Cricetulus griseus: one gene and its partners. The protein of the gene in region 4 purifies or fractionates together with the protein of the main gene of each other region. This does not show direct contact. Links are inferred from orthologs where the notes say so. Each region holds a gene or a part of one and is shown on either strand. Other genes may lie near its edges.

Region 1 (5,239 bases), on a different chromosome or scaffold from region 4:
ATTCTGGGCATCTTGGAGGTGAATGGGAGATTTCCCTGGAGTTGTGTGGACAGATGGGCACACTCATTCCTGCGATGAGCCAGATCTGCTTGCCACAGCGTACTGAAGGCCTTCCGAGTGCCCAATGACTTCCATGCTCGCCGTGCAGCCACCTCCAGAACCTACCTGTACCGTCTGGCCACAGGCTGTCGCTGGCCTGATCAGCTGCCTGTGTTTGAACAAAATGTATGCTGGGCTCTGCAGACAAAGTGAGTGAACTAAGAATGGGGAGAAAAGGCTCACCATCCATCTGGCTGGGCCCTCCTCAGTGCTTAATTGGCTCTGCAGGTCCCTGGATGTGGCTGCCATGCAGGAGGCTGCCCAGCACCTCATCGGGACACACGATTTCAGTGCTTTCCAGTCTGCTGGCAGCCCAGCCACAAGTACTGTGCGAACACTACGAAGGGTCTCTGTGTCTTCTGGTCCAGCCAGCCCATTTGCCCTCCCCCAGGAAAGCAGGTGAGAAGAGTGGCCTTACGCTGGTCTAGAGGCAGCCAGAGTTAAATTAGTTCTCATAATCCATAAAAGTGGAATGATGCCCCAGGCATGGTAGTGTACACCTTTGATCCCAACACTTGGTGGGCAGAGGCAGGGGATCCCTGTGATTTTGAAGCCAACCTCATTTACAGAGTAGTTCCAGGACAGCCAAGGCTACACAGAGAAACAAGAAACCCTGCCTGTCTTGAAAGCCAAATCAAAACAACAATGTGGGATAATGCTAAACTGATATACACTGGTCATCCATAAGGCCTGGAGGGTGGAAGGTGCTGGCCACTTTAAAGGTATGAGCCAGTATTTGTGCCTTCTTCCAGCTGGGGAGCACAGAGTAGAGAATGTTGCCTTTCTGAGGGCCTTGCCATACCCATAGCTCTTTGTAGCAGATGGGTTTGGCAGTCACTGAAAAGGTTTCATTGGAGCTAGTGGTTCCAGTCCAGTTTGGCAGACTGGCAGTTCTCTGCACTGTCTAGTGGACTTCCCACTGGGAACCAGCTACTGACCTTGAGCACGTTGCAGCTGATATCAAGTTCCTAGGGGAGGAGGGCTTCAATGTAGCTAGGCACAAAAGTACATGGCCAGGGTTCCATCTTGATAGGTGAGCTGGCTATGTCCATTTCAGCACCCATACTGTGACCCCTCCACGTAAAGGAAGGCTCAAAGCAATTGTTATCCCCTGTGCACAGGCACACTCTGTTGTTTTCTGAGACAGCATATATAGACTCCAGGAAAAGTTATGCAATACCCACTCACCCTCTGGAACTGGTGGTCAGCTAGGCAAGAACCTACCCTGGATAGATGAGCATTTAAATCTGTCTTGTCTGAGGCCACATGGGTGGCTGGGGCTGCCTGTAGCTTGGACATCAAAATTATCTGTGTTTCTAGGAGACTGCAGTTCTGGACGTTGGAGTTTGAAAGCCAGTCTTTCCTATATCGACAGGTAGGCTGTACTAGACCCTCCCAGGGTGCGCTCAGGTAAATACCTGTGACTATCTCAGCTCTCTGCTGTAGGTACGGAGGATGACAGCTGTGCTGGTGGCTGTGGGACAAGGGATTCTGACACCCACAGAGGTAAAAGCGATTCTGGATAGTCAAGATCCCCTGGGAAAGTATCAGGCTCGAGTTGCCCCAGCCCGTGGCCTGTTTTTGAAGTCGGTGCTATATGATGACTTTGGTAAGAGGGGTGGGATACGAAACAGCTGGGCCCTCACTGAGGGGAGGGGGCTTTTGGAGGCAATCAAACCCCCCATTATACCAGATGAGAATCCAAACACCTAGTGGGGAAGCCAGTGACAGTGGGAAAAGGACTTCAGTTAGGTAGGATCAGTGATCAAAAGCATGGTGGCATGGATTGAGTGATCCATGGGTTCAGATTTTAGGGGGTATGTGGGGGTCTCTGGATGCAACCGTAGGAAGAGTTCTACTGACCTAGGGTCTCTCCATAGGACCAACATCCTGAGCCCTGTAAGGTCCAGTGTGAAACCAGCTAACTTGTACACTCAGTGGAGGTGAAGAGCCACACGGCACACTAAGTGGCTGTCAGCCTTGTCCAACACTTACTGCACTCCGCAAAGATTAATCCACAGCTATGTGGGGTCTAACAGCCCTGCCTACCTTCCAGCAGCTCCCACCTCCCCAGTCTTTCCACTGTGGCCATCCCTTTGTCACTAAAGGATGGGGTACCAAGCAGGAAACAGAGCCTCTGGTCCTGCTTTTCTGGGAGCCCCATCTTGGGGCAAAGTAGGAATAAAATGCATAAAGAACAAAAAGACCTGTTTATTACTTTAACCAGTCTGTGTGACTCTGGCCCAATACAGTGTCCATTTACTCAGGGCACCCACCTCCCAAAGCCAAAATCCTGATCCTTCTGCTGAGCAAACAGCAAGAGACAGAGTGGTGGGTTGCTGGTGGTTACATGTCAGCTGGGTGCCTGGGGAAGGCCATTTTTGAGCAGTGCTGTGAGAAAGCTTCCCAGCTCTTCATCCTACAAGGAAAGAGGGAAGCTCAGTTACCCACAGACAATATAATACCAAGGAAATGAGGTCTCCAGGCATACATACCACTGATGCCCATCCTCCTTACCTGGTAGGTCCAGGAGACCAGTAGTACCTTAGTACCAGGGTCCTCCGAGTGGGCAGCAGCCTGGATAAGAATGGACTCCACAGTCACAGAGCCATCAGGGAGATGCTGTACACAGTGGTCCTTGAGGGTACTGTGGAAAGGCATAGTAAGATCCCTGCCTCACCTTGCCTGTAGGGGTGGGAGCAAAGCCAAAGCGCACCTTTTGAGGTGGCTGTACACACGGAGGGCTGTTTCTTGCTCCTTGCGTGTGTCCTGCAGGTGCACCCGACAAGTGAAACGCAGTTGATGCTCAGCCAGGCCCAACTCCTTAAGGGCTTGCTCTGAGGATACCAGCCGGAAACTCTGTAGGGCAAGGGCAAGCAGCAGGTCAGGGGAAGTAATGAATGTTATAAACTATCCCCACTCCGTCACTCTTTACACACTTACACTGTCTTTCATAACCAGTGTGCCATGCAAGAGCCGAGGTTTTTTGGCCTCAGGGAGCAGTCCTATGAGGAAAGGAGCCCTGAAGTCAATACGAGCCACCAATAACCTGCCTCCCTCAGCCCGCGCCCCAGGCTGCCCTTCATACCCTGCACCATCTCCCGCTTCAGCAGCCCCAGGGAGATGCCCACAGGGATGCTGGGGCTGGTGGGCAGCGTCACTGTCTCACCATTGGCTGGCATGTAGCAGCTGACCCCTGAGAAAGTGATACAGAGCTTCAGTCTAGGCTGCCAGCCTGGCCTGTACCATCCCACAGGCCATCCCTGCCCACCAGTTGCCTACGGAATTCCTGTTCGATCTTCTGCCTCAAGAACTCCATCTTCTTGGCCTCGCCATGCACCAGCAGCACACTCTCCGGCTCTGCTTGTCCCACCAGTTGCATGATGCCCTTGGCATCAGCATGGGCACTAAATGACATGTATTCCACTTGCATCTTTACCTCCAGCTGTGGTGTCACAAGATGCAGACTTAGCAGCAGCAAGAGGCTGGAAGCCCTGCTGAGCCCAGGACAGAAAGGTACTCACCACCTGACGCCCCTCCATCTCCAGCTTCCGTTGCCCACTAAGGATCTTGTGGCCCACAGTGCCTTGCACACAGTAGCCAGGCATGATGACCTGAAAGCATAGGTGAGGTTCAGCTACAGAGCCTCCTAATGTAGACACTTGTTCTTGGGGCAACCCCTGACCTGAATCCTCAGGAGGCTAAGAGCCTATCTGGGCTACTGGTGGCAGAACACAGTAATAGCAGAGTCATCATGGGGTCAACACACAGAAAGTTCAAGGGCCAGTCCTTTTGTACTCCAGTTTCCTAAGACTATAACGAGCCCCTGTAGAATAGGAAATTGGGGGCTGGAGAGATGGCTCAGAGGTTAAGAGCACTGCTCTTCCAGAGGTCATGAGTTCAATTCCCAGCAACCACATGGTGGCTCACAACCATCCGTTATGAGATCTGGTGCCCTCTTCTGGTGTGCAGATATACATGGAAGCAGAATGGTGTACACATAATAAATAAATAAAATCTTAAAAAAAAAAAAAAAAGAATTGGAAATTGGCTTCAAACCCTCACCATGTTCTTCTCGTTTCCTGCCCACTTTCGGAAGATCTGCAGAGATTGGCCAGCATGAAGCATTCCAGGTGTGGCAAACACAACCTGCAGGGTTGACAAGGGTCAGGAGAGTAGACTTTACCCAGGGCTGCAATAAGCACCAGACCTTTGGTCAGCAGTCTTTCCCAGAGCTCCACGGGCAGGGATCCTTGAAGGCCAGGTGTACAGAAGCTGCATTGCCAGGGCCTTACCATGGGACCTGGGTTGTCAGCAAATGTCCGGTCAAAGGCTTTGATGTGCTTGAACTCAAACATGTTCCTCTGGACAAATGTCTTGCGGATCTTCTGGTTGGTCCAGGTGATGAAGAGCTTATAGTAGTGGTTGGCCTTCTCTGTCAGGCCCGTAGAGAAGTAGATGGGCACCTTCAGGTTCATGCGTTCCCTGTGTGTCCACCAGCCCAGTCAGTGCAGGGAGGCCAGAGTTAGCTTGCAACATGTGGCCCTATGCCCTCTACTGCACTACTTAGTAGCTATGGCCACAGCAGAGTTCAATATCCCTTGAACTGAACCCCATGCTGTCTCCTTATGACCACTGGGCCAGACCTCTCAGCTTGTGTCCTATAAAACAAACATGGGAGTGACAGGGGTCCCTAGAGTTCATATGAGGAGACTCAGCATTCATGCAGTGACCCATACAGCCAGCAGATAATGGTTCAAATGTGATATCCCAACACATGGACAGCTCCACCAAGACAGCAGGGCCAATGGTACTGTATCCTGGACACAAAGTACCTAGTGGTAGTCATTGTGGCCTTGACTTCTCAACAGTTCTGCTGTGACTGGCATTGTGAGGAACTTACTCTCCTACACAGAGGCTTTTCCATCCTTTCCTGCCCACTTGTGGAATATTCCTGTTTGTACCTACCAGAAGGTCTCCAGCAGGATGCAGAGCTCTTGTGCCCGGCCCAGCGCAAATACAGGGATCAGCACCTGATGGTAGGTGAGGCTGATTCAGGTGGGAGCCACTGGCCACACTACCTTTCCCTGAACACAGCAGGTAGCAAGATGTTTGCTATACTCTTGCAGGCAGGTAGAAT
Region 2 (6,925 bases), on a different chromosome or scaffold from region 4:
ACTACACTTCCTTGCCATGGCCATGGCTATAGGCTACCACTAGGGGGCACACTGCCACAGATGACCAAGGTGGTTATGGGACTATAGTTTCTACCTGCAGTGATACTCAGACCAACTTGGGAATTACAACGAGCAAGAACCTTTCAAATTCTAGATTACCCGGAGTGGGGAGTCCTCATGTGGCCCAGGCTGGCCTGGAATACACTACATAGCTGAAGATGAACCTTAAACTACAGATCCCCCCATTACTACTTCCCAAGTGCTAGGGTTATACAGGCATTCAGCTAATCTTTACTTCAAAACCTCTTACAGAAAATTTCACCCATATACAAAAACATAGAGGACTGATTGCCACTTATCACATACCCACCTTCCAGCCTCTTAATTATCAACATCTGCCATTCTTTGGGGTGTTTTGTACATTCCTAGACAGGGTATATCTCACTAGGTAGTCTCCTAAATAGTGGGATACAGGCATATAGGATTACAGCACATTGACATGTGCTCAAGTATTTACAGGAGAAAGCTCAGGATGCTTCTAACTTATTTTCTAAAAGGTTAGGGGAAGATAACACTATATAAGAAATGAGGCAAATGTAATAAAACATTAGCATTTGGTAACTACAGAGGGGAAAAAAGGGGGCATTTTATTAACGTTTCTCAGCCAGACATGGTAGTACATGTCTTTAATCCCAGCACTCAGGAGGCAAAGCAGGCAGATCTCTGGGAGTTCAAGGCCAGCCAGGGCTACATAGTGAGACCCTGTCTTAAAAAAAATAATAAATAAATAAACAGGGTTGGAGAGATGGCTCAGAGGTTAAAGAGCACTGACTGCTTTTCCAGAGGTCCTGAGTTCAATTCCCAGCAACCACATGGTGACTCACAACCATCTGCAATGAGATCTGGTGCCCTCTTCTGGCCTGCAGGGATACATGCAGGTGGAACACTGTAATAAATAAATCTTTAAAAAAGATATAGAAAAACAAAACAAAATAACAACAACAAAAACCCACCCTCCAAAAACAAATGTGTTTGGGGAGGCAGGTCTGGAGCACTTGCTGCTCTTGCAGAGGACCTGAGCTCAGTTCCCTGAATCTACATCTAGCAACTCACAATTGCCTGTAACTCTAGCTCCAGGGGCTCCTCCAGGGGCTCTGCTGGCCTCTTTTGACCTTTTCCAGTACCCTAACCCATCTGCACACACAATACAGAAGCAGACATATACACACATAAAAGTGAAAAAGCTATCTTTAAAACGAGAATTATTGGCATTCCAGGGTGTGTCCCCTTCTGTGAGGCACACTGATAAGATGCCTGGATGTGCTGAAAACACATCAGAACCAAAGATCACAGTATTAAGATATCACTTCCACAATGGCTTTCTAAACTATGCTATAGTCAGAACGTAGGAAGAAAGATTTCTGGGAGAACTAGTCAGTCCCTCCTGAACCCCCCTTCCTGTGCCTCCAATCTACCCATCAACACACATACCCGGGAGTACTGCAGCTTGTCCACAATGTCATCACTAGTGAGGGGGATCAATCCTGCAAGACACAGAAAAGTTGTTTTGTAGTACAGCTAAGCCATCACAAGAACCTACAAGTAAGTCCCTCAGGCTGGGAAAGGAGGTACCCCCCCTTTAATCCCTTCCACTTCTCAATGCCCTGCCCAAACTTACCAAGCCTGTGAGCAATGAATTCATCATGAAGGACTGAGGAATTGGCATCAATCTGAACCCAGTCAATGGCTGGAAAAGGCAATCAAACAGCACAAGTGAGACCAACCACCATCTGAGAATCTGACATCCTCCAGCATCTCCAGACATACAGCCCTGTTCTCAAGACTTAAGTATTACTTAGTGATCAGCACTTGGAAGGCAGAGTCAGGCAGAACTCTGTGAATTCTAGGACAACCAGGGCTACAAGAGAAACCTTGTCCTGAAAAAAAAAAAACCAACTAACCAACCAACCAACCAGCCAACCAACCAAACACCCCACCCCACCCCCCCAAAAAAAACCAACCCAACCAACCAACCAAATTTATAAAAGAAAGAAAAGAATCACTGTTTTTAGGGTTGATGGTATCCAGGCCAGGCTGCCACAGACTGCCTCCACAGGGCTAGCTCGAGGTTCAGGCAGCCAATTTAAACAAACCACACACACATACACACCATACCTAACACCGTGCTGCCTCCAGTGAATTGGGTATAGGGCTTACTGGTACCATAAAAATAAACATTCACTTAGAGAGTATTTTAGGAGTGTAATAATTAGGGAATTGAATATTTCCCCAAAGAGCACTTTAAATCTGCTATATTCTGTTACTATCATATCCAAGAACAAAAGCTATTTGGGCACTTAGAAGTTGGGGGAAACATGGGTTGGAGGGATGGCTCAGTGGTTAAGAGGTTCCCAGCACCCATGGCAGGTGGCTCACAACTGCTTGGAACTCCAGCTCCAGGGGAATCTGAGACCCCCTAGTCTCCTCTAGCACCTGCCTCCACCTGCACAGACCCACACACAGAGACATAATTAAAAATAATTTAAAAATTTAAAGTTAGGGAAAACATCATAGAAGCAACACTGCTGTGATCCACATCTCATTTTATGAAATAACCAGATCACCCCTTAGAATTTCAGTGTTACTCTCATCAGTGGCTGTTCACTGAACATCTTCAATAGGAAGCAAATACTAACAATAAAACCCAATCCCTCCCATTTCATTGCTCGCAGAATAAGACTATGTGCTTACAGAGGCTTCACTTAAATATGTACCTAGTCATTCATAAGCAAACACCTGCATGTAAACAATGAAATTCAGAAACCAAATGGTGTTAGAGCCCAGTTCTCAAATAACCGGCATGGACACATGGAAAAGAGGTCAGAAGACCAGACAATGATAGGCTCAACCTGCTCTGCCCTGCAGTACTTCCTCAACCCAAGCAAGGGCACACATCCAAGCTTTCCCATGCCTTTATTCTACCTCCCCACCCTCCCACACCCTGGCAGGTGAAAACTCCTAGCCTCTAAAAACCTTGTGTGTCTACAGATGCTGCCACTCCCTCCTTTTGAGCTCCCTCCCTCCCTTCCTTCCTTCCTTCCTTCCTTCCTTCCTTCCACTGTCTGTCTGTCTCTCTCAAAAAAAAAAAAAAACAAAAAAAAAAAAAAGAAAAAAGAAAACCTGATGAAAACCCCCCAAGACACCTGTCATTTTTTGCCTTGTGTTTGCCCATGTCTTGTCTCTACACCTAGCTTGGAATGTACATGATCTACACATGCAGAGGAAGTAAGAGATCCATTTTTTAAAAAGAGACTTTTTAAAAAGTGGTATTACAAACACACACAGAGTATTATTCAACCATAAAAAAACAAAAGTATGTCATTTGCAGGAAGAAGTCATAAAAATAAACATGCTTTCTCTCATGCGGAATCTCAACTTTTTTAAATTTTTATTTTTATTTATTTTTTGAATCTCAACTTTTAAGAAGGGAGAATTCGGGGCTGGAGAGATGGCTCATAGGTTAAGAGCACTGGTTGTTCTTCCAGAGATCCTGAGTTCAATTCCTAGCAACTACATGGTGGCTCACAACCATCTATAATGAGATCTGGTGCCCTCTTAAGGCCTGCAGGCAGGACACTGTATACATAATAAATAAGTCTTTTAAATAGAGTTCCAGGCTGCGAGATGGATCAGCAGGGTAAAGGCACTTACTTGTCAAGACTTGAGTTCAATCCCTCCCACAAGCTGTACAACCTCCACACATGCATATATACGTAAATAAATATGTTTTAGAGAAGAGAGAGTCAGAGACAAGAAAATATTGCAGGGTACTATCAAGAAGGCCGGGAGACAACAGTAGTAGGGGAATAAAAGGAAAGGATGGGGAAATGAATACAATTCAAGTACTGGGGGGGGGGGGGTCCGTGAAAATGTCCTAACGAAGCCCGTTATTATGTACAATTAACATACGTTTTCAAAAGACACCCAAATCCAACACTGACTTAAAAGTAAAGGCGCGATATCTACACGACTTCGGTAATCCCGGGTATCATCTGTTAACGAGTCCTAGCGTCTACATCCTATGGATAAGGAGGCCGCAGCTCTCAGCTCTTTGGTAGTGCTTAGTCTTAATTTATCTGTTGCTTTCGGGTAGTCAGAACTGTGCTGGGATCCACACTGCCGAGCAAGGCGCGCACCAAGGCTTGCTGGCCCCGGCGGCCCCAGCCCAGCGTGCAGCACCGCAGTGTTCTCAGCCCCCCGCCTGGGGCCGAGGGGCAGCGGCAGGGGCCCCGGGGGAGGGTCGCATACCTATTATGGGCACCTCGGCGATGAAGACCCTCCGAATGGAATTGGCCACCCTACAGGAGGAAAGCCAGACCGTGTGAGCGGCCCCGAAGCCACAGCCCCGCAGGGGGCCAGAGGACCCGCCCGCCCGCCTCTTTCCCGCCGCCTTACGCCAGGTCCGTGTTCTCGATGATGAATTTGACGTTCTCTTCGGTGAGTTCCGTGATCCGCACGGTTGGCTGGTTGGCGTACGGCATTGCGACCCGCAGCCAGTCTCCCGAGCCAGTCCCGCAGCGCGCCTGCGCCGCCACCAGCAATTTGTCGGCGGGGTCCCTGGCGCTTCCGGCTAGGCGTGCGCGCAGCGCCACCTGCTGACCGGAGGCCGAAACTCTCCTGGTCTGCGTTTTCTAACCACACTCTCCAAAATTTCTGCTTCCAAAAAGCACCAGGCCCTACACTCTTGGAATCCCCAAGATATATAGCACAAAGGTCAAAGGTACATGTACAGGGTTATTCATACCAGTGCTACTTACTTGTAATTGCTAAGAATAACTCATTAGGTAATGATGGATGGAGACTTGGTTAAACATACATACATATGGGGCTCAATGGTTAAGAGCACCGGCTGCTTTTCTGTAAGACTTGGATTGGATTCCCAGCGCCCGAATGGCGACTAATGCCTTTAACCCCAGTTTCTGGGGATCTGATGCCCTCTCCTGGCATGAAGGCACGAGGTATGCACATGGTGCACAGACATACATGCAAGCAAGACACCCGTATACATAAATAATTTAAAAAATATTCTATGCCTGTTATTCTTGGATCTGGATGTAAACAGCTCTCAGCTACTTCTCCAGCACCATGCATGCTGCCATGCTCCATGCTGCCATGATGATAATGAACTAAGCCTCTGAAACTATATGAAGCAAGGAGACATTTGACCAGTAGTAAGAGGGCTTCTCTTACTAATGTGAAAGAGAGATGGCAATTTGACACATTTGTTTGAGGGGGCATCTGCTGGTTTCTGGAAGAAGGATCAAGGTTCTAAAGATTCTCAGGGGAACCATGTGAAGATAATACAGTTCTTACCTCTCATCAAAGAAATTTTTCTTTGCAAAGGATGGAGACCATTACAAAAACAAAACATCAAGAACAACAACAACAAAAAAACCCACAACCAGTTAAAATTGCAGAGAACAAGAGACTGTTGTGTGCTCAGTCTCAACTGATACATCTGCAGCTAATTCAACACCCAAGGCTCAGGGATCCTTGAGGAAGGAGGAGTGGAATGACTGTAAGAACCAGAGGAACGTTACGTTTGCCGTGAGATTGTGTCTCCTAGAAATGTTACAAAGGCTACACACATCAAGTCTCACCAACATTACTGCCTAAATGAGGCTTGAACAACGACGCCAATGGACATGTTAACATGGAAGGGAGAGGGATCTCAACCCTACACAAAGAACCGGGGGATGCTGAAAGTGGTAGAAATAACCTTCCTCAGGGAAGAGCCCTGCAATGGGTTATCCAATATAATATCAAAAGCCCCAGGATCATATAAATACAGGTAACATTACAAGAATTGAACAGGTTGTATTCATGTATTAGGAATGTGTGTGTAACAATAATTAACAAAAAACTGGGACATGGATTTGAGAGGTATAAGGAAGGGGCAGGAGGGAAGAAAGGGAAAGGGGAAATGATGTAGTTATATTATCATTTTAAAAATAAAAAACATAAGAATAATTTAAAAACACAGAATACAACGAAACCTTTTAAAAGAATGAGGTTGTGGCTGGGTGGTGGTGGCGTTGGTGGCGCACACCTTTAGTCCCAGCACTAAGGAGGCAGAGGCAGGCAGATCTCTGTGAGTTCAAGACCAGCCTGGTCTGCAAGAGCTAGTCCCAGGACAGCCTCCAAAGCCACAGAGAAACGCTGTCTCGGAAAAAAAAATTAAAAAAAAAAAAAGGATGAGGTGTGCATCTATAGATGAACAAGAGGGCTGAAGAAAGTGACTAAGTGTGTTAAGATGATTTATATTCTAAAATGAGGGGCCAAGTTCAAATCCTCAGATCTCATGTAAAGCAGGGCATGGCAATGCAGCTCTGTAATCTTAGTGCTCCTTTCAGTTGGAAGGTGGAAGTTCTCAGCCAGTTAGATGATGTACAAAGAAAAGTTCTCAGGCCAGTTAGATAATGTACCTCGACACAAACAACAAAAAACCCACACCTGAGCTAACTTTAGCAAGAGTGCTAACACACACACACACACACTTCAGCAAGTGCTGAAACACGCACACGAAAAACAAAACACATGTCTTTTATTACATGTGTGTATGTACACAATGGTTGTCGACACATGTGTGTGAAGTCAAAGAACAATGTTGGAATCAATTCTCTCCTTCCACCATGTGACCCCCTGGGACTGAACTTAGGATGGCAGGCCTGACTGCAAGTGCTCTTACCACTGAGCTGCCTCAAAGGTCCCCAAAGTATACTTCAACAATGCCCATGTGTTGAATGATACACTTTCAATGTACTTCTGAAGTAAAGATATAATGCTCTCCACTTCTACAGATCTGTGTAGTTGCACCTGAAGCATTTAAATGGGCCTCAAAAAAGTGGCTCACACAGAGAAAAGA
Region 3 (6,598 bases), on a different chromosome or scaffold from region 4:
TATGAATGTGTGAGTGCTCTGTGTGTAGCTGGCAATGTAAAAGAATACACAGCGGGGCTGGAGTGACCGCTCAGCAGTTAAGAGCACCGATGCTCTTACAGAGGACACCAGAGTTCAGTTTCCAGGACGTCAAGCCCCTCACAGCCATCTGTAACTACAGCTCCAGGGCAGGTGATGCCTTCTCATGGTCTCCATGGGCACCTGCACGCATGTATCATATACATACACAGGAATAAAGATAAAAAATAAATCTTTGCATATATATATATTAAAATATTCTTTTTTTTCTTTCTCCACTACCCTTTTCTTTTTTGTACTGAAACTAGGGCATTGTGTATCCTAAGCAAGCATTCTACCACTGAGCTACAGCCCCAGCCCTCAAGTGGGACTTTTCTTAAGGACAGAAGAACCAAGAACACATAGCTGGGTGTGGTGGTACATGTACTTGGGAGGCATATTTCTGTGAGTTCGTCCAACCCTATCTACACAGTGAGTTCCAGGCCAACAAGAGGTACACTATGAAATTCTGTCTCAAAAGCAAAACAAAACATAAACGTGTTAAGCTAGAACTGGGAGGCTGACTAATAATTCTACTGACCACTTGAAAGTACTAATCATATGCTTTCTACCTAATACGCAGAGCCTGCAATTATATAACATACATTTCCATTACTCATTGTATATATTTTGTTGGGTCCAGATGGTCTTCAATTCCTTTCTCAAGCATGAACCCTGACAGAGATGTGGTCTCCTGACTGAAAAACTGTAGGCATGAGATAAAGCCTAGGAGGAATGTGCACTGGGGCAAAAGAAGTCAAGGGCAGGGAAATGGGAAAGAAAGAATTCAGATGATTCAGCCAAAGAGACTGTTTCTCAAACTCGGCTTGCAATCTCCAGGTGCTAGTTAAACAACATATAAACAGCAATGGGGAAAAAAAATAAGAATTGCTCATTCTGGAAGTGAACCCAGGCTCTTGTGTCTCTGTCTCCCATCACCTTCTTTCCAGGACCCTGAAATGCCCAGGTGTGTTGACCATTGTCAGGAGCCAGCTCCGGTCAAATATAAAAAGTCCTTCTTTACAGAGGCTTGGACAGGAGACACCTGCCCTGGCCGGAGAGCAATTGACATTTATTCCTCCCCCCACTTCCTCTTTCTCTGCTTCCTCCTTTCTCTTTAAAAATCCCATTATTATCAATAAAATTTAGACCTTGACAAGACCACTGCTTGGTCTCGCTTCTTCTTTCTCGACCATTATTTTCAGGCTTGGTCCACCTCGAACCCACGAATTACCGGAGCCCCCCTGGCCGGGGCAGACCATGGCATAACTGTTTAACATATAGTTTCTAAATGTAATAATATCCTAAAATATAATCGTTAATCATATATAATTATGTATTTGTGACACATATGTCCCCAAATTCAGATCTATCTTTATATCAATGTCACTAGAAATTAAGGATTTTCAGCAGAAGAGATAAGGAGTACAAACAGAAAATCAAAATACTGCTAAGTGAAAACCTCAGTTTTTAATTCGGATTCTCACGATTTACATAAATTGATTAAGCATGCCAGTAAGAACTCATCGACATCTAAAAACGCCTATTCACACTAACCCCTGACAAGCCCAGTACCGGTTATCCTCTGGTAGTAACAAACACAACTTACGCGCCCCCACCCCATCTTGTGACTATAAAGGCATCCAGGATTTCCTAAAATGTCTAACCCAAGACAGTTCAAGAGGAGAGACTGGAAAAGCATCGCTAGATACGAAGGGAGACGACACAGGAAAGGGGAGAGGTTTCTACACAGATCATTCAACTCGGGAGGGACGCCTCGTCCACACAGCAGCGTTAGGGGCCACCTCTCCATACCTCCCCCGGGCTTCCCAGTTCTCGTGCCTCCACTCAGGGCCAGACAGAGACACACTTGGATCCCAAGGCACATCACGGATTACCAATGCCCACTCTCTCCGGAAGGGCGTTTTCTGTTTTAATTGTCTCTCTATTCTGAGAAGAGGGAGGGGGGAGGCAGGGAAGGGAAAAGCAAATTTAAAAAAAAATTACAAAAATAACCATGGGTCGCTAAGAGAAGATAATCTTCACAAGGCTGCAGCCAACCCTGCACCTTGCTCCCTCTCAAACGTGCATTTTTCAGTCTTAAGGGGACGTGACTGTGAGAATTCATAGGAGCCGGTAAGGGGGCGGGGGTGGGGGGGGTCCCAGCGCTGGGCGTACACCCGCAAATACCTTCCGGCTCGCTGACTTCTAACCAAAGAACTACATGTTCCTCAGCCGGATAGCAAGGGCTCGCCCAGTCCGCCCCGACCAGCCTGTCCTCCACTACGTCACTCACCGCTCTCCACACCCCACCTTACGCTCTCTCCGCACCGCCCCGCAGAGCCGCACCCCCGCCCCCCGCACCTCCCACCCTCGCTCCTCATTGGCTCAGAGCCCCGCTCGTTTCCGCGGTTGCCAGCGGTAACGCGAGGCGGGCACAATTTCGGTCGCTAAGACGCCCCACTTCCGCTTCCGATCGCCCGGCGGAAAGCCCAGCCCGCTTCGCCCCGACCAATGGAGCGTGGGAGGTAGGCGGGACTTGGTTGGTGTGGACCAAACAGACGCGACCCGGGGCGGCCAATGGGGGTGGGACGGCCCCTGTAGCGTGGCCCGGGAGCCCCCACGCCCTCTCGCGTCCTTCTCTCTCCCCACCCGCTCCCCCGCCCAACACGGCGCCGCCCCGCCCGATCCTGGATTCCGCCCGGCGCTGGCCGCAGCTTGACGGAGACGCCGGGGAGCCAAGATGGCAGCTGCCGACGGCGACGACTCGCTCTACCCCATCGCGGTGCTCATAGACGAGCTCCGCAATGAGGACGTCCAGGTGCGCCCGGGGCGCCCTGCCCTTAGAGCTGGGTCGTGGGGGGGAGACCGGGGACCTGCGGGGCGGCGGCGGAATGCGGGACGGACGGGGAGACAGAGAGATGGCTCCGGCTGCTCCGGGAGTGGCGGAAGGCAGCGGCGGCCAATCAGCAGCCGCGTCTCATCGTGCCGAGGGGCGAGACTCCATGAGACGGCGCTCCTGATTGGCCGTGGGCCCCAGCGGAGGGCAAGCCTCGAGGGTCCCTCCTGGGCGCGCGCGGCCGCCCGGGGAAATCTGTGCCCGGCGGCCCGAGATGGGCTGGGGCAGGGAGCCTGGGGCCGGCGGCCCGTCGGGTGATTGGCGGCGGCGGACTCGGAATGACCCCCCCCCCACCCGGGGGGGCGCGTGAGCCGCCGAGGAGGGGAAGCCCTCCTGGGTGCTGGGGACCTCGATTTCCCCATTGCTCCTCGGTGTTTTCCATCCTGGGCCCCAGGGGTGCTGATAACCAGGGCAGCAGCCCACTCCTCTCGGGCCTCCGCCTCGTATTGATGCAGGAGGAGGGGAGAGGAGGACGTGGAAAGGCATCCTCCTCTCCCGAAATTCGACTAGCCTAATTCAGGGACGGGTCACGTGTGCACACGCCACCCCACCCCACACCCCCTTCCCCAGGCTCGCCCCAGGCCGGACTTTTTGCCAAGGGAGGTGATAGTTCAGGTTGGCGGGAGAAGAGTGACCCAGGCCCAGGGGCTTTTAGTGGGTCTGCTGTGGTTCTGAAAAAAAAAAAGAGAGAGAGAGAGAGAGAGGTCAGACCTCAAGGCCTGAGGATGACCTTGTGTTCACGTTGTTCCATCGCCCCTGGCTTCCGTTTTCTACCAAATACCGGCTAATAATAGTCCTGGCTTACCCCGGTGGCTGAGGAGAGGTAGTAAAATAAAACTGGCCGCTTGTAAAGGCCCCGTAAATGTTAGCTGTTATATTTGAGGGGAGTGGCTTGTTGTGGTACCGTGCTCTGCGGCGGTGCCCCTGTTTCTCCTGGTGGTGCACTGGGTAACCTGAGGCTGCGCCCAGCCTCTAAGTCTCGTGGATATGATTCAGGTTCTGCTGCCAGACAGGCTGGAGCTGTATTTCCGGGCCTTGCACGTTTTGCTGATTGACCCAGGCAACCCAGTGTGAATCTCTTCGGTTAAATGGGAATAGCAACCTGGTTTTAGTGTCGAGTAAACACATGCGGTGTTACCAGGAATGTCATTGTTGGGGGCAGGCGTCGTGGTGCATGCCTGCAATCTCAGCACTCAGGAAGCAGGGGTGGTAGGTTCAAGGCTAGCCTAGTCCACATAGTGACACACTCTGTTGTATCAACAAAGAAACAGGCTGGTTGCTGCCCAGGAGCCAGGTGTGAAACAGGTAAAGAGAACTAAATAAATATACTACCACCTGTGAAAAGGGACGAGACCTGTCGGTGTTGCGATAATGAATCAGCAGTTGTTTGTTGGGCCTGTGTTCTGAGCTGTGCTCTGGGTGTTTGGGTACATCTGGGAGGAAAAGGACAAAAACTGGCCTTGGAAGAATCTACCTTGTAGTGAGGAGTGGCAGATTGTGTTGACTGTGAAAGGTTGTAAAGAGAAAAATAAGGAATATAGGGTGTATTGTTAGAGTAAGTGTGGAGAAGTCTTGTTGAAAAGTTGAGCCGGTACCTGCTTGTGGTCAAGGAAGGAATTGTGGGGTTCTGGGCAGAGTGCATAACATCTAAATGTTGGTCGAGGAATTGGACCAGTTCAGAGACTCCTTCCAGGATGCAATGCTTGAGAAGTTGGGGGTGAGGCTTACAGAAAGAGGGACTATACCTGTGCAATGACTGTAGTCCTCAGCTTGAAGCTATTTTTGCCACCAGGGATGTTTAGCAATGTCTAGGGATGTTTTGGTTGTCATAACTGGGAGATTGTTGCTGCTTTTAATGGGTATGCGTCAGGAATGCTGTTATACATTGTTGTTGTGTATAGGCCATCCCTCATGGAAGAAAAAAAGTCCCATTTAAAGACATTGGTACTAAGGTTGAGGGAAGCTCTTGGATGAAATATGCACCCAGGGATAGTAAGGAAGTTGGTTAGTTTAGGTCATTGTGCCAGTTTTGTAAGGCTTCTGTAACACTTTACCATAAATTTAATAGTATAGAGCAGCATAAAGTTTTATTTATGGTTCTGGAGATGAGAAGTCTGTCATAAGTCTCACTGGGTGAACATGACCTAAGATCTGGCAGCTGATTGATAACAGCCTAGCTTTGAATTCAAGCCACATGGCCTCACAGCTTTCTGCCTCTTCTTCAGCATTCACAGTGCCATCTTTCTGGGGGGGAAAAAAAAGGACATTGTTAACAAAATCAAAATTTTTGAGTGAAAGAACAGCTGCCCACAGGTGGCAGGGAAGCGCCATATTTAGGATCCCAATTCTTATGCATATTTGGTTTTTTGAGGCAGGGTTTCTCTGTAGCTCTGGAGCCTGTCCTGGAACTCGCTCTGCAGACCAGCCTGGACTGGAACTCACAAAGATCTGCCTGCCTTTGCCTCCCAAGTGTTGGGATTAAAGGCATGCGCCACCACTGCCTGGCTAATGCTTAGTTTCTGGTTGGGGGTTCATTGCTTTCCATAAAGTGTCTGCATCAGCATCCTTGCTTTTTAAAATGGCATTTCTGGAACAAAACCTCAAAGCAGAGTGTCGAGTGTGTTACTACACAGGGAGCAATCTGTAGATGTTATGTGCTGTTATTAGTGGCATTAAAATTATGACTGTGATTGCATCTGCTCCGTGATACCATCCATTGTTCTCAGGGCTGCTGTTCCCCAGTTGTGGCCCATGCATTTCCCATCGTCCACCTGGGAGATGAGCACAAACATCTGCATGCCTTAAACACAAAGGGGGGAAAGGAAGCAGGCTGCTAGGACAGCCATCCCTGTAGAATTTCATTGTAAAAATTGAGGCAAGAACATTGGAAAGCTAGTGCACAGGTCAGCAAAATACAGGCTTGGACCATATCCAGCCACTGCCAGCTTTTGCAAGTGAGGTTTTGCTGGAATACAAGCCAGGCCAGTTTATTTACATAATGTCTCCTTCCCATGGCTGTTGCTGTGCTTCGAGTTCAAGTTCAGTGGTTCAGCAACAGTGAGTGGCCTGTGAAGCTGGGAACATTTACTGGCAATTTAAATAACAATTTTGCTGGGTACTCAGCAGTGCACTGAGCACCTACAACCACAAAACTCAACAAAACCCATGTGGAGCTTATTGGGGAGGAGATCAAGGGGACTAGGTGCGGAAATGAAAAGGGGGGAACAGGTGGGAAGCACTTGCTTAAAAGGGAACGCTTGCACCTGTGTACAGAGTCCTAACACAGCCATGCAATGGAGGGCCCTTTGAGCTTTCTAAATGTCTGCCTGAACGCAGGTATGCTACCCTCCCTGGTGTCAGGGGGCGGGGTCAGCATAATGCCAGGATATCAGCAGCACCTGCAAACTTACTGCCAACATCTAGGGATTGTTAGTGTTTGCAATATTTGGTTTTTTAACCTTTCCATAGACCCCTGCATATCTTATAGGCCTTAAATAAGTTTTTCCGAACTTAAAGTCCTTCATTTATTCTGATTTTTTTTACTACCAAAATGAGATTGGGAGCCTCCTTTGTTGTTTCATTGCTCCAATAGCCAAGGTAATGTTGTTCTTTTTGTTTTTGTTTTTGAGGTAAGGTATTGTT
Region 4 (6,708 bases):
ATGCAGTACTTACATACAAAAATACTAAGGTTACAGAACAAAGCTATCCTACAAAGTTCTTTTTCAAATACCCAAATTAATATTCAGGGTTAAATACTTTCAATCATCCAAAATTCCAACATTCATATAAATAGGAAATATCAAATATTTAAGTAAAGAAAAATGTTTTTATGATGAAAAATCCAAAAGCATGTTTTCTTCCAAGTAAAATTAACTCAAAATGTTTCCATTAATTGAGAAATTGTAGCTTCTTAATTACTTTAAGGCTAGTTTCATTATGTACTAATTCAGGATATAAGCAAAAACTATTAACATTGCTTACTGAATCCTGATTCACTAAAATAAATGAGGCATTATCCTTCCTTGTTGTAAGTTAATAAACCCTAATCAGTAAGAACATCCCAATCCCCATATTTTCTTCTCTGATTCCAAGTGATAAAACACAAAAGCTCTGCCTTCAATCTTAAACTTCCTAAAAGAGAAAGTACACAAGTACCCTGGGTCTCCCCATAGTAAACAGTTCTCCTAAAGGACTTTTTGCTATGTTTTAAGTATGTAGTCAAAGGTGGATGTATCCCAATGCCCTTCCCCTTATCAAATGGGACAGAAGAAAATTGGAAATAGTTCTACAACACACAACCTGACAGCAAAATTAAGGAACTAAATAGCAAGTTTCAAATGTCTTTGAACTTGGCAAAGCTTGATTAAAATCTTAAACGATAAAAGAAAATACCACTACATACAACAAAGAAATAAAACTCTTTTACAGAAACAGTCCAACAAGTGGCAAAGCAGCAACAAAAAAGAAAAAATAACGTGTTGATATTAATTAAATGATGGAAATGCATTCAGAAAAGTCTGACTAGTAATGCATACTTTAAATGCTATAGGACTAAATTCCACCATTTTTAAAGGAGGATATGTGTTTAAGAGTTATCCTCAAATGAGGAATATAGCTTGTGAAGTCACAGGAAGAATTTCCCTGAGATGTTCAAAATTCATGAGAACTGTGCATTATGGAACTTGGGAAGAGTATATAACATATATTCCTAAATATAGTATTATGGTAATAGTGCTTTGCATACTGAATTTCTTGGGTGTGATACTACTGGTGTGCAGCAATACATATTCTTTGTTATCTTTTATTTCTAGGATAGCATATCATAAATGGATCATCTCACATTTCCTTGGTAAATGACTGCTGTGACTTAAAGCTCTTGCCTCATCCTCACAAATGAGAGGAACTTTGAGGAGCTTCAGAAAGACAGGCAAGTTTTCATGTTTCCCAGAAAACATTTTCCCAAGGGTTTTGAAATTTTAAACTTTAAAAATTCTCAATCTGTCATTACTTTCAGACTTCCTACTATAGTAACTTCTAATAGTATAGGCCTCAAGAGACATCTGAATGTCAACCAATGACTGCACTACTGACAAATCTCACCTTTGCAAGTATACAATCTAGGTTAAGCTAAACCCTCATCTAACAGTCATGTCTTCCAATGTCTTTACTAATATAGAAGAAACTGCAGTCAACGGGACAGCTGTGACCCACTGCAGTAGTTACATATGTACCTACACGTGGCATAGTTTCAGAGTGGTGTATTCACAGGGTATCTTCCCCTTGATGTCTTTTATGAACTTTGAGGGACTGAAACCAAATTCATGTCAACTTTATAGCCAAGAATTTAGATTCGAAGTCTACAGGGAAATACACTTAAAGGGGAAAATGAGGGAACTCATACACCTTAGGTGTTTTGAACTGTGTGCACACTAAATTTCAACCTTGTTATGTTTTATACTTGCATTTCATGTTGCATACTTTTGGACTGGATTGTGTTTTTGTACACATAAATAAAAACAACTTTTCTACCTTAGTATTCAACCTACCTGCCCATAGTTGTCTATGCCAGTTACTAATCTATTTAAATTTAACAAATCAAAAGCTGTCCTTAGGGATTGGCCAAGAGTCGTAAGTCCTTCTGCCTGAAGGTTTTTCAGTTCATTCATAAACGTTGCATGATTTTCTTTCCATCCAGCCTGAAAAGAAAGATGTAAGAATTTTTTTTATCATTTGAAGCCACAGCACACATGGACACCGATTATAATGTGATGTCCACCAAGCAGGCATTCCACTTCGGGTTTGTATAGTTAACTTCACTTTTGATTGATATGGCTTGGGTCACATGTTATAACTGTTGTCTCTGGGTGAGGAAATCTCTTCCAAAGGTGGCCAAGAATGAACCTGCTTGCCCTACACAGTCTTAATACTTTAATAACTTCACTGGGAAATTCGCTAACATAACATCCTCCAAATTGTGTGTAAGGGGTGGGTGTTGCGAAGGTACTAGTGGAAGGCAGATGGCAGCAGGACTTCTTAAGTTGACCACAGCTGTCCCACCAATCGGTGGCCTTCCTAGTTCCACTCTGTGATGACCAAGTCTCGAAGCCCCCCTCCTGGCTTCCCTGCCAGCTTGGCTGATTCCCTTTTAATGCAAACCCTGGCTAGGCAAGGCTGGGCCCGGCTGTCACTCGGGCTAACTTGAATAAATATCCCCCACAGTTCATTGCTGCCGCTCACGCCGCGGAGGGGAAATGTCGGCCATGTTGATCGTAGCGCCTCCACCGCCAGGCCGAGCCAGACCCGGAGGGGACGGCGGTGGGCCAGAAACTGCCACCGCGCCGGCGCTCCCGAGCTGGGGAGGGGTGGGAGGCCACAGGGGAAGGGACCTGGAGGCGGGAGCCGCGGTGGGGGAGGGGAGCATAATGAAGAGGGGGGCGGGGAGGGCGAGCTAGGAAGGAGCAGGGAAGGGAGGGGGGAGGGCGAGGGCTGTTACCTTGATAGCATAGGGCGGCTCTTCGAAAGTGACCAGCATATACCTGTCTCCTCTGCTGGCAGGGTCCCGGGCACGGAGCTGCGGGCCAGGGTGGGGACGGGAGGGAGAGAAGGAAGCACAGAGGCGAGGTTACCAGTCGCAGAAGGGTCGCTGGCCGCCCCCACAGTACCGTACACACAGGGCCACCACTCCGCCGACCCCCGCACCCACAGTAGCCCCACATGGGCCAGGCCCAGCGGAGCCCGCTCCCAGCTCCCAGCGCCCGCCCGCTCGCCCGCTCGCCCGCCCGCTCGCCCCGCCCGCCCGCACGCCCGCGCGGTGGGAGGGGTCCCCGCGCCCGAGGCGCCCGCAGTAGCCCCGCCGCCCCCCGCCCTGCCCCCCGCGGGCCACCGGGTCGGGGTCGCCGCCGGGGCTCGGTCAGTCGGTACCTTCATGAAGGTCTCTACCGCGCCTTTGGCCGTGTCCAGGTAGGTGGTGCCCAGATGGCTGCGCTGGTTCATAGAGGCAGACGTGTCTATCAGGAACAGTAAGATGGGCATAGTGCTGGCCGGGGACACCGGGGCCCGAGGTGGTGAAGAGATGGCAGAGGTGGAAGCACCGGCGGCGGCGGCGGCGGCGGCAACCGCCGCTACGCGGGGCGGGGAACGCGGCCCCCGGGAGGAAAACACCGGCTGCGGGGAGTTTCTCCCCCGATAGTTGAGAGGAAACTCCCCAGCCCAGGTCCTCCCGGTCGTACCCCTGCCTCCGGCCTGCCTGCCTGCCTGCTGGGGCGGCCGCACGGACGCCTGTCCGTCCGTCCCCCCCGCCTGGGGGTCCCGTCCCCACTCCCGGCCCCTGTGTGTGTCCCCGCGGGAGACGGGCCCAGTTCCCCACCCCACCCCCAGTGCAGGGAGTGGGGACCAGGGATCTGGCGAAGAGGGGACTGGGCTGAGGGGAGATTGGCCCTGGGGCTGTTGGGAGAAGTTTCAGGGACTCCCTCCGCACCCCAGCGGTGTCACCACTTTCTCAGCCCCTCTCGCTACTGAAGCGCTTTTCTCTCTCACTCTCCGGTTTTAACTCGGGCAGGGGCTACGTAGGCTCCGCCCCTGACACGTACTCGTGTCACGTGATGCGCAGGCCCGCAGTTCTACTGGCTGGTCCTTAGAGCCTTATTAGCATATTCAAACAGCTCAGGGGCGGGGGAAGCTTGTAGGCAGACTCAGAGGACAGTTATTGAGCACGCGCGGAGGCGGGGCACCGGGTGCGCGCTAGAGCCAGCGCGAGGGGCGGCCGCAGGTCCCGCAGCCGGGAGGCGGGCTCCGGGAAGGGGCGGGGACACGCCGCGGAAGCGCGGCGGATGGGGGCGGGGACTGGGTCGGCCCGCGCAGGGCGGCAGCGGCTGTGGGCGTGCGTGTCAGGGCGGCCGGCCTTTGGGCTGTGCTCGGTGACAGGGTCGGGAGAGGGGAAGTGGAAGCCGCCCTCAGCCTGTGGGCGAGGGCTCTGCGTCGCGATTGAGAGTGCAGGGCTGAGGAGAGCCAACTGGCCGGGGCTAGGGAACCGCGCAGGCCCTCGCGGCCGTTGCAGGCCGGGCCCCGGGACGGCCCAGGGGGGAGGGGAAGTGAAAGGTTGTTTATGACCTGGTGCTAATCCCCGCCAGTCATTCGGCTCCGGCTGCAGCGAGTCAGAGCACCCACAGAAAGGGAAGCCAGTCCTGGAGTGCCTCCCCCAACCCTGCAAACACGAAGGGGAACTCAAGTATGGACCAGGAAAACAGCGGTCCTCCCCAACCAAGTTCCCCTCTTCCACTCGTGTTTGGGCACTAGAGTATATTAAGAAAAAAAGGAGCTTGCCAGATTCTAATCCACTGCCCTCGTTTTAAAATGGAAAGGATGACCACGTTGCGCAGGTGACCCAGAGAATAGATTTCCCGGAAACCCGCCTTTCAGTCCCTGCCAGTATTGTGTCAGAAAAATTCTCTGCCCATGTCACATTACCTGAAGCCTTCAATCTGCGCCTGCAAGACGTATGAATTGTTCTCAAGTGTAGTTGGAAAACTGCAGGACGCTGCCTGATACACAAGTTGAATTTGGGACATAGAGGCCTGGTTAGACTGTAGGTATTTATAGGGCCTTTCCCACCGGTCCTGCATTTCCGGATTTTCTCTATGCTGAAATTCTGGCCTGCTGGGCAACTGAAGTGGCATGTTTGTGACACTTTTTTTTTTTTTTTAATCTGCCCTTGTTGTTTGGGCTTTTCCTAATATTTCAGAGGGAAAAAAAGAACTCGGAAAGTTTTTAATTTATTAAAAACAAATTATAGCATACTGTTTTGTGGGAATGAACCATAGTAGAGGCATGAGTTTTTTGTTTGTTTTGTTTTGTATTTTGAGACAGGGTGTCTCTGTGTAGCTTTGGAGCCTCTCCTGTCACTCGCTGTGGAGAACAGGCTGACCTCTAACTCACAGAGATCCGCCTGCCTCTAATTCTCCAATGCTGGGATTAAAAGTGTGGTGTGCACCACCAACGCCCGGCGAGGCATGAGATTATTAGAGATTAAGACTATAAAAAAAAAATGATGAACTAACAGCCAGTATCTGCTGCAGACTAGGGCTAGTGGGAATTAATATATGAAAAAATGAGGGCCGGGACTTCAAAGAGTTTGTGGTAGTCTAAGAAAATATAAAGACACTGAAAGCCAGAAAATGATTCTGGAAGAAAAAGAAACCTGTTAAATCGTGGGTGATAGTAGTTTCCAAGGTTTGTGTTTAGTACTTCAAGGATTGATGACAAGTTGTTTTCACTGCCATGCCATTTTTCTTTCCATGTGATTGCATAATTTTTAGAGATTTAATCTCATTTTCTTACCAGGGCCTTTCAGGTATGTGTGAGCCCTGCCTGTCTGAAAACAGACTCCTGTAAGGCCATACAAATGTCTAGTTCCTGTGTGCTGTAGAGTTATACTAGTCCTGTATGAGTTAAAGAAGCAGCAGTTGATGATGAAAGGAGAAGAAAAAAATCAAGCCATTAAAAATGTGAAGGAAGGTAGAACTGCATTGCTGATAGCCACAGCTAGACCGAAGGAAGCACAGCCAAGGTCATCAGGCCCAGGAAGAAGGCCTTCAGTCCAGTGAAAGAAATCTAATCCTCTTTCTTAGATCAGTTTTGTTGGGGGGCACTGAAACAAAAGCATGTTTGCAGGAAATCAAAGGAGCCTGCTGATGTAGCATACATCAGTAACACTGTCCCTTTTACAGTTATTGGAAATCACTTGCCAATAGACCCATGCAGTTCTTCCCTGAGTCAGTGCTGCTGGCAGGTTGTCCTGGAGGTGTGTGGTGGAGACAGATGCAAAGACGGAGGGGAGCCAAGTCCAGAGAACTTAACCTGAAGCAAAGAACCAGAAGCCAGGCTTGTGATGGCACTGGGGACCAAAGATCAGGGTTTCATCCCGAAAGTCCAGAAGTTATAAATGGCAAGGCCATCAGGCTGAACAGGAAAGAGATGGCACATAGATAGGCAGCAGATACACAGTCAGAAACCAGGAAACATTCACAATCACTCCTTAGACAAAACTGTGAAATGGGCAACCTTTTTTTCTGAAGTGACGGGTTCACAATTTTGTCATTAGTTGATGATGGTTTAAAAGCAGTTCTTAGCCAGGACTTACACATTAGCATAATCTATAGAGCTTTAAAACATAATTCATTGAGCATGCATACCCAGAGGAAGAAGCGTCAATGTAATGAGGATGGGGACAAGCAAGATGACTGAGAGAGTAAAAGCTCTTGTCCCTAGTGATCTGCCTTTGCTCCCTGGAACCCACTTAAAGGCAGCAGAGACTATACTCCACGAAATTATCCTCTGACCTCCACATGCTTGGTGCTGCACATGTACAT
Region 5 (5,682 bases), about 170 Mb from region 4:
TTCCTGAAGAATTACCTTTATCTCGTGGTATATGCATCTGTAATGGACTTCATGACTTAGGATTCAAGAAACATCCTCATTAAGGAAGAATCTTAATTTACTTTTGGAAATAAGAGAGCTACTAGCTTCCCAGAGCAAAATTACCATTCTCTTTTTAAATTAAGACATAAAACCTGTGAAAATAATAGTATATATATATATATATATTTTTTTTCTTTGCTCAGATTCCTAAGCATATATATTTGTTTTCTCATTCTTTCTCCCCACTTTACTTTCTTCTGGTGTTTGAATAAGCCCTGACAAATGCTCCTTATCCCCAAATATCCATGTGTATTTTCCTAAACTGTTGTGACGCATGTTCCAGTCAGAATGTTTCCATTGGTATACTCCTACCTAAATACCCAAGTCAGATTATTGTAACATCCAGGTTTACAAGTAATTCTTCAGATTTTCTTGATGTAATCTTGATGGTTTGAAATGACCAGAGTTTTATTAAGAAATAGCTTTCTAAATCTGGGCATGGTCGGTGCTTGTAGTCCCAATATTTAGAAGGCAAGGGGGGTCATGAGTTTCAGTCCAGTCTAGGATATATAAGGAGACATTGTTAAATAAAGTTCCCTTGAGAGGGGCTGGAGAGATGGTTCAGCAGTTAAGAGAGCATACTGCTCTCCCAGAGACTCCTCGGTAGAGACTTGACTAATGTTCCTTACGATTATGGAGTTATTATATGCATGTTTGAGTTGCATGCTCTCAAGTGATGTGTCTTTGGTGCATTGTATCAAGGAGATTTGAAATCTGTGCCCTGCCAGTTTTATAAACTGGTCACTTAGTTGAGGTGGTAGCTGCAGCAGCTCCTATTGTTAGTATTGTTAATATTGGTGGAACAAAAGAGAACGAAATCCCTCTAAACTAGCAAGGAATGACTTTAAGGAGGTGGGAACAAACTTCACCAGCCCAGAACAGTCAAGGAGCAGTGTAGGAGCATGATTATGAACACAGCATTGTAGTGCCATTAAACCTCATTATAATTATATAATCATAAATGTCAATGATGACTGGATACATTTTAAATATAATGACAAAGACTTACTTTCCTAAAAGTCAGAGACTTTGAAATTAGAAGATTATCAAATTTCAGTTATTATGAGATAAAACTAAAACATACTTAAAATATCACAAATTAAAGAATGGAAATGGTATGTTGTGAATCAAGTAGATAATTACCAAACATAGCCCTTGACGTGAGTGAGGAGTCTGGTGCGGGTGACCATTAGATTATCCAGGCCATTACTGATGAGCATTGGCTCAGCTCTCCCATGAAAGCTTACCCAAGTTGCTGTTTGCCCAATACTAGCTTCAAGATTTCTGTAGCAAACTTTGGAAGGCAGGCACTTTCTATCATGTCTCGGCACTTGGGACCCTAGGGCAATTATAAATTTGAGAATACTGTGACCAAATGGCAAAATTCTTTCTCAAAAGAAAAGAACAACAACAACAAAAAAAAGGCACGCATACACGGTAAGTAAGCAAATAAATAAAGTGCTTGGCAGAGTTTATGAGGAAAAATGAGATTACCATCTTTGTCTGAAAAGTTCAGTGTATACCTTAAGCTAAGATCTCAGTGGTTACTGAGATCTATAGACTCTTGTACCTAATAATTGTCCAGTATTCTGAGCAGGTACAGAAACTGTTGATCACAGGAGATAACATGATTCCGTAGCCACAGAAGTACTTAGGATTTGAGTTCTGTGTCAAGATTGAATTTAATGATGAAACAATGACCTTTTCTTACTGTTGCAGGGATATAATTGGTGCCATGATCGGAATGTGGTTACCATTTTTAGTGCACCCAATTACTGCTACCGCTGTGGGAACCAGGCTGCTATCATGGAATTAGATGACACTTTAAAATATTCTTTGTAAGTAACTGTACATTTTAATTTATGTAATCACTTTAGAGGGAAAAGGTAACTGGTAAAAAACAGTTAGGGGCTGGAAAGATGGCTCAGCAGCTCTGAGCCCTTACTACAGTCATGAGAACTGAAGTTCAGATCCCACAAAGACCTGTAACTCCAGCTCCAAGGGATCCAACACCCTCTTCTGGCCTCTAAAGATACATGTACATGTGTGCACAGAGTCATATACACACGTGCACGCATGAATAAAATTAATCTTCTTGGAATGAAAACCGTGAAAGAGTTCTGTTCATCGTAAAAATTGTTTTCTTTTGATATGCTGGGCATGCAACCATGGCCTCATTCATACATGCCAGTTCATTGCTATGCCACTGAGCTATACAGCCCAGAAAAGGGTTTTAATTATTTACAGTTCATTGAAATTTTCCCAAGAGCTTATAGGTAATGGAAAAACATTTAACCTTAAGAGAACCATAAGCCAGGTGCAGTAGTACACATACTTAATCCCAGCACTCAGGAGGCAGAGGTTGAGACCAGTCTGGTCTAAGCAGTGAGTTCCAGGACAGCCAGGGAGTACATACAGATACCTTGTCTCAGAAAAACAAACTAACAAGACAGAGAAACCTGTCCATTATAACTACTAGAGGCTTGCATCCCTTACTCACACATTATTCTAACAAAAACAACTATAGTGGAGCTGGAGAGATTGTTCAGTGGTTAAGAACACTAGCTGAGTTCAATTCCCAGCAACCACATGGTGGCTCACAGCCATCTGTAATGAGATCTGGTGCCCTCTTCTGGTATGCAGACAGAACACAGTATACATAATAAATAAATCTTTTTGGGGGGAAGAAAAAAAGAGACTACTTAGGGTACAGGAGTGATGCAAGTTAAATTCCCAGCACCTACATGGCTGTTCACAACCATCTGTAATTCCAAGGGTTCCATCTTCTGACATCTATTTAGTTAGTTAGTTAGTTATTTAGTTAGTTATTGGTTTTTCGAGACAGGGTTTCTCTGTGGCTTTGGAGGCTGCCCTGGAATTAGCTCTTGTAGACCAGGCTGGTCTCGAACTCACAGAGATCCGCCTGCCTCTGCCTCCCAAGTGCTGGGATTAAAGGGGTGCGCCACCACCGCCTGGCTCTTCTGACATCTTTGATCACTGGCAATCATAGCACAAAATTTTAGAAGAAGCTTAAAGTAATAAAACATGTACTACTGGGGGATGTGGCTCCACTGGCCCCTGCTTACCTAGCATACCCCACAAAATGAACCCCCCCCCAAAAAAAAAAAAGAAACAGATAACAGACAAAAAAGGCACTTGATAAAATTCAGTGTGCTTTAAATAAAATCAGTAAGCTACACAGAAGGAAACTTGCTGTGCCTGTAGACAAATACTCACCCTGATTTAGCCAGGTGGTGGTGAGAGACAGCACTGACCCAAAGGCCCTTAAATTGATAATAGTGTCACAAGTATTTTCTGCCAGGCACTAACAACCATGTTACCTAACTTTTCACCATAACTCTGTGAAGTAATATAATTTATCACAGGTAGTGACATGCTCAGAGTTATTCCAGCCACATGGAATGTAGTAGCAGAAGAATACAGAAAGGATGGCTTTGTCTAGTGAGTGTCTTAGTGGCTTAGCTGCTGATTCAATTTCTTTGTCATTTATAGTCTTCAGTTTGACCCAGCACCTCGTCGTGGAGAGCCTCATGTGACCCGGCGTACCCCAGACTACTTCCTGTAAATTCTTCCCCAGGACCTTTCTTTGTATGTGGAAGTATACCTGGCTTTTTAATATATATATATATATATATGTGTGTGTTATATATATATATATATTTAAAAACAAGTCATCTGTGTGTTTCTGTAACAAATTGTGATATGTCTTGACATTAAACTACATCATGGACCAAACGTGCCATACTAATGATGAGCGTTTAGCACAATTTGAGACTGAACTTACTACACTGTGTTCTAGATCAGTCTGCCTGCTGTGTTGTAGGAACCATTCTTCTTGGCTGGTTAAGCAAAAAGGGGTCACTGACTGCTTCATCTCCTTTGCACTTGGAAATTTAGTTACAGTGTTTAACTGGCATGGATTAATAGAGTCGGAGTTTTATTTTTAAGATTTCACAACCTGACTTCCACTTAATTCATTACCCTGTATTTTATTGAAATGTGTAACTAACTGAAGAAGAGATTCTTGGGAGTATGTTGTCATAACATTAAAGAGATTTCCTTTCATTTAAACTAAATTACTGTTTGATGTTGATCTGCATTATTTCTGTATATTTGTCATGACAGTGCTTGCATCCTATTTGGTGTACTGAACAAATAAACTTTCCAATTTAAACAAAAATATTTTAGCTGTGATATGCATTAAGTGGAAGCATCACCATTTTAAAACTTGATACAAATACTTAAGACTGTGGTTATTTGTTTTCCATTTACTTTGGATTTTAAGATGGTCATGTATAGTCCCAAATGACCTTAAACTCCTGGGTTCCCCTGGCTCTACCTCCCAAGTGCTAGGATTACAGGTGTAGGACACCTTGCTGAACCACAATTATCTGATGTGTAATAAAAATAAGCAGCTGTACTGACAGGATTTACATGGTAAGCTTAGGGGCTGGGGATTAACTCTGGTAAGGTGCTCATTTATATTCATTTCCAAGTTACATGCACACATGCAAGTGCACACACACACAAGTAATGCTTGTTTATAGTTTACATTTAGAAGCAGAACAAAGTCAAGTATTTGCTGATAACTTTAGGCCATTAAAAAATCCATTTTCACATTCCTAAACATTTCATTGGGTGGTCTGTATTAACTTATTCTTTTGGGTAGGAGTGGGGAGGGTTGAGACAGCGTTTGTCTATAGCCTTGGCTGTCCTGGAACTTGCTCTGTAGATCAGGCTGGCCTCAAATTCACAGAGACCCACCTGCCTCTGCCTCCCAAGTACTGGGAGAGAGAGTTCCAGGACAGCCAGGGCTGTTACACAGAGAAATCCTATCTCCAAAAACAAAAAAAGATAAAGATATCTTAAGACAGACTCTAAGGGTATCAGTACATACAAAAAAACAACAGCTCACACCCCAAATGTACTTGCTTACTGTAGTTTCAATATGCTCCCCAAAGATCATGTTTCAAAAACTTTGTTCCCAGATTTAAGTCAAAAGTACATAGGATTAGTCCACTCTGAAATTTCTTTAAAGTCTTTTAACTTTTTAGAAATACAGTGGTATCAACATTCCTACTTAAAGATTTTGAGTTGTAAAATACTGTGGTAAGGTGGATTCAAGAAGCAGAAATCACAGTTCTTATATAAGGTGAGAATTGGTTTGTTTTAAGATGGTCTGACTCAAAAATTCCAGGAAGCATGTTTCACCAAGCCTGGCTGAGACCTGATATCAGGTGTCTGTCTTACTACATCTTTTTTACCTTGTTCTCACTTTGGTACAATGTAAGATGACATAGTCCTCTTCCATTGTATGTAGGTGTGCTCCTATGAACAAGAAGAGTTCAAGGTACAGCATGGCTTTAATGTGAACACTGCCCTGTGAGGTCACATGTACTGACTTTAAGGACAACAGGTAGTTCTGACTTTACTGGCCACTCTGTTCTTTCTCTTCCACGTTAAGTACCGTATCCACAGTTATTCCTATGTCCTCCAGTGACAAGCCTCCCTCTGTCTCCAGAGGCCTCCTGGGAAAGGAAGTGGAAAGACTATATATGGATTTGTGGTACCCAATCTTCA

Evidence for each region.
Region 1: the proteins of Ints6 (region 4) and Ints11 purify together in Homo sapiens (affinity purification with mass spectrometry; 3 studies listed by BioGRID, with this or other methods). This does not show direct contact. The link is inferred for Cricetulus griseus from reciprocal best matches to the Homo sapiens genes INTS6 and INTS11.
Region 2: the proteins of Ints6 (region 4) and Polr2c purify together in Homo sapiens (affinity purification with mass spectrometry; 3 studies listed by BioGRID and IntAct, with this or other methods). This does not show direct contact. The link is inferred for Cricetulus griseus from reciprocal best matches to the Homo sapiens genes INTS6 and POLR2C.
Region 3: the proteins of Ints6 (region 4) and Ppp2r1a purify together in Homo sapiens (affinity purification with mass spectrometry; 4 studies listed by BioGRID and IntAct, with this or other methods). This does not show direct contact. The link is inferred for Cricetulus griseus from reciprocal best matches to the Homo sapiens genes INTS6 and PPP2R1A.
Region 5: the proteins of Ints6 (region 4) and Ppp2cb purify together in Homo sapiens (affinity purification with mass spectrometry; 3 studies listed by BioGRID and IntAct, with this or other methods). This does not show direct contact. The link is inferred for Cricetulus griseus from reciprocal best matches to the Homo sapiens genes INTS6 and PPP2CB.

The regions. Positions count from the first base shown.
Region 1 is NC_048595.1:398,057-403,295, forward strand, and holds the end of Ints11 (integrator complex subunit 11), read right to left. Parts: intron 5,133-5,239; coding exon 5,068-5,132; intron 4,585-5,067; coding exon 4,395-4,584; intron 4,249-4,394; coding exon 4,165-4,248; intron 3,714-4,164; coding exon 3,624-3,713; intron 3,545-3,623; coding exon 3,382-3,544; intron 3,296-3,381; coding exon 3,188-3,295; intron 3,105-3,187; coding exon 3,043-3,104; intron 2,959-3,042; coding exon 2,816-2,958; intron 2,747-2,815; coding exon 2,617-2,746; intron 2,519-2,616; coding exon 2,453-2,518; 3' UTR 2,291-2,452; downstream 1-2,290. Other genes in the region: Pusl1 (tRNA pseudouridine synthase-like 1), read left to right, coding at 99-248, 328-498, 1,420-1,474, 1,546-1,708, 1,980-1,993.
Region 2 is NC_048596.1:171,078,470-171,085,394, reverse strand, and holds the start of Polr2c (DNA-directed RNA polymerase II subunit RPB3), read right to left. Parts: upstream 4,614-6,925; 5' UTR 4,542-4,613; coding exon 4,456-4,541; intron 4,359-4,455; coding exon 4,309-4,358; intron 1,748-4,308; coding exon 1,679-1,747; intron 1,545-1,678; coding exon 1,492-1,544; intron 1-1,491. UniProt on the Homo sapiens protein: Core component of RNA polymerase II (Pol II), a DNA-dependent RNA polymerase which synthesizes mRNA precursors and many functional non-coding RNAs using the four ribonucleoside triphosphates as substrates.
Region 3 is NC_048602.1:19,091,639-19,098,236, reverse strand, and holds the start of Ppp2r1a (serine/threonine-protein phosphatase 2A 65 kDa regulatory subunit A alpha isoform), read left to right. Parts: upstream 1-2,719; 5' UTR 2,720-2,800; coding exon 2,801-2,878; intron 2,879-6,598. UniProt on the Homo sapiens protein: The PR65 subunit of protein phosphatase 2A serves as a scaffolding molecule to coordinate the assembly of the catalytic subunit and a variable regulatory B subunit.
Region 4 is NW_023276807.1:217,769,872-217,776,579, forward strand, and holds the start of Ints6 (integrator complex subunit 6), read right to left. Parts: upstream 3,865-6,708; 5' UTR 3,374-3,864; coding exon 3,263-3,373; intron 2,913-3,262; coding exon 2,835-2,912; intron 2,038-2,834; coding exon 1,888-2,037; intron 1-1,887. UniProt on the Homo sapiens protein: Component of the integrator complex, a multiprotein complex that terminates RNA polymerase II (Pol II) transcription in the promoter-proximal region of genes.
Region 5 is NW_023276807.1:51,170,712-51,176,393, reverse strand, and holds the end of Ppp2cb (serine/threonine-protein phosphatase 2A catalytic subunit beta isoform), read left to right. Parts: intron 1-1,800; coding exon 1,801-1,919; intron 1,920-3,594; coding exon 3,595-3,667; 3' UTR 3,668-4,178; downstream 4,179-5,682. Other genes in the region: Ubxn8 (UBX domain-containing protein 8), read right to left, coding at 5,531-5,682.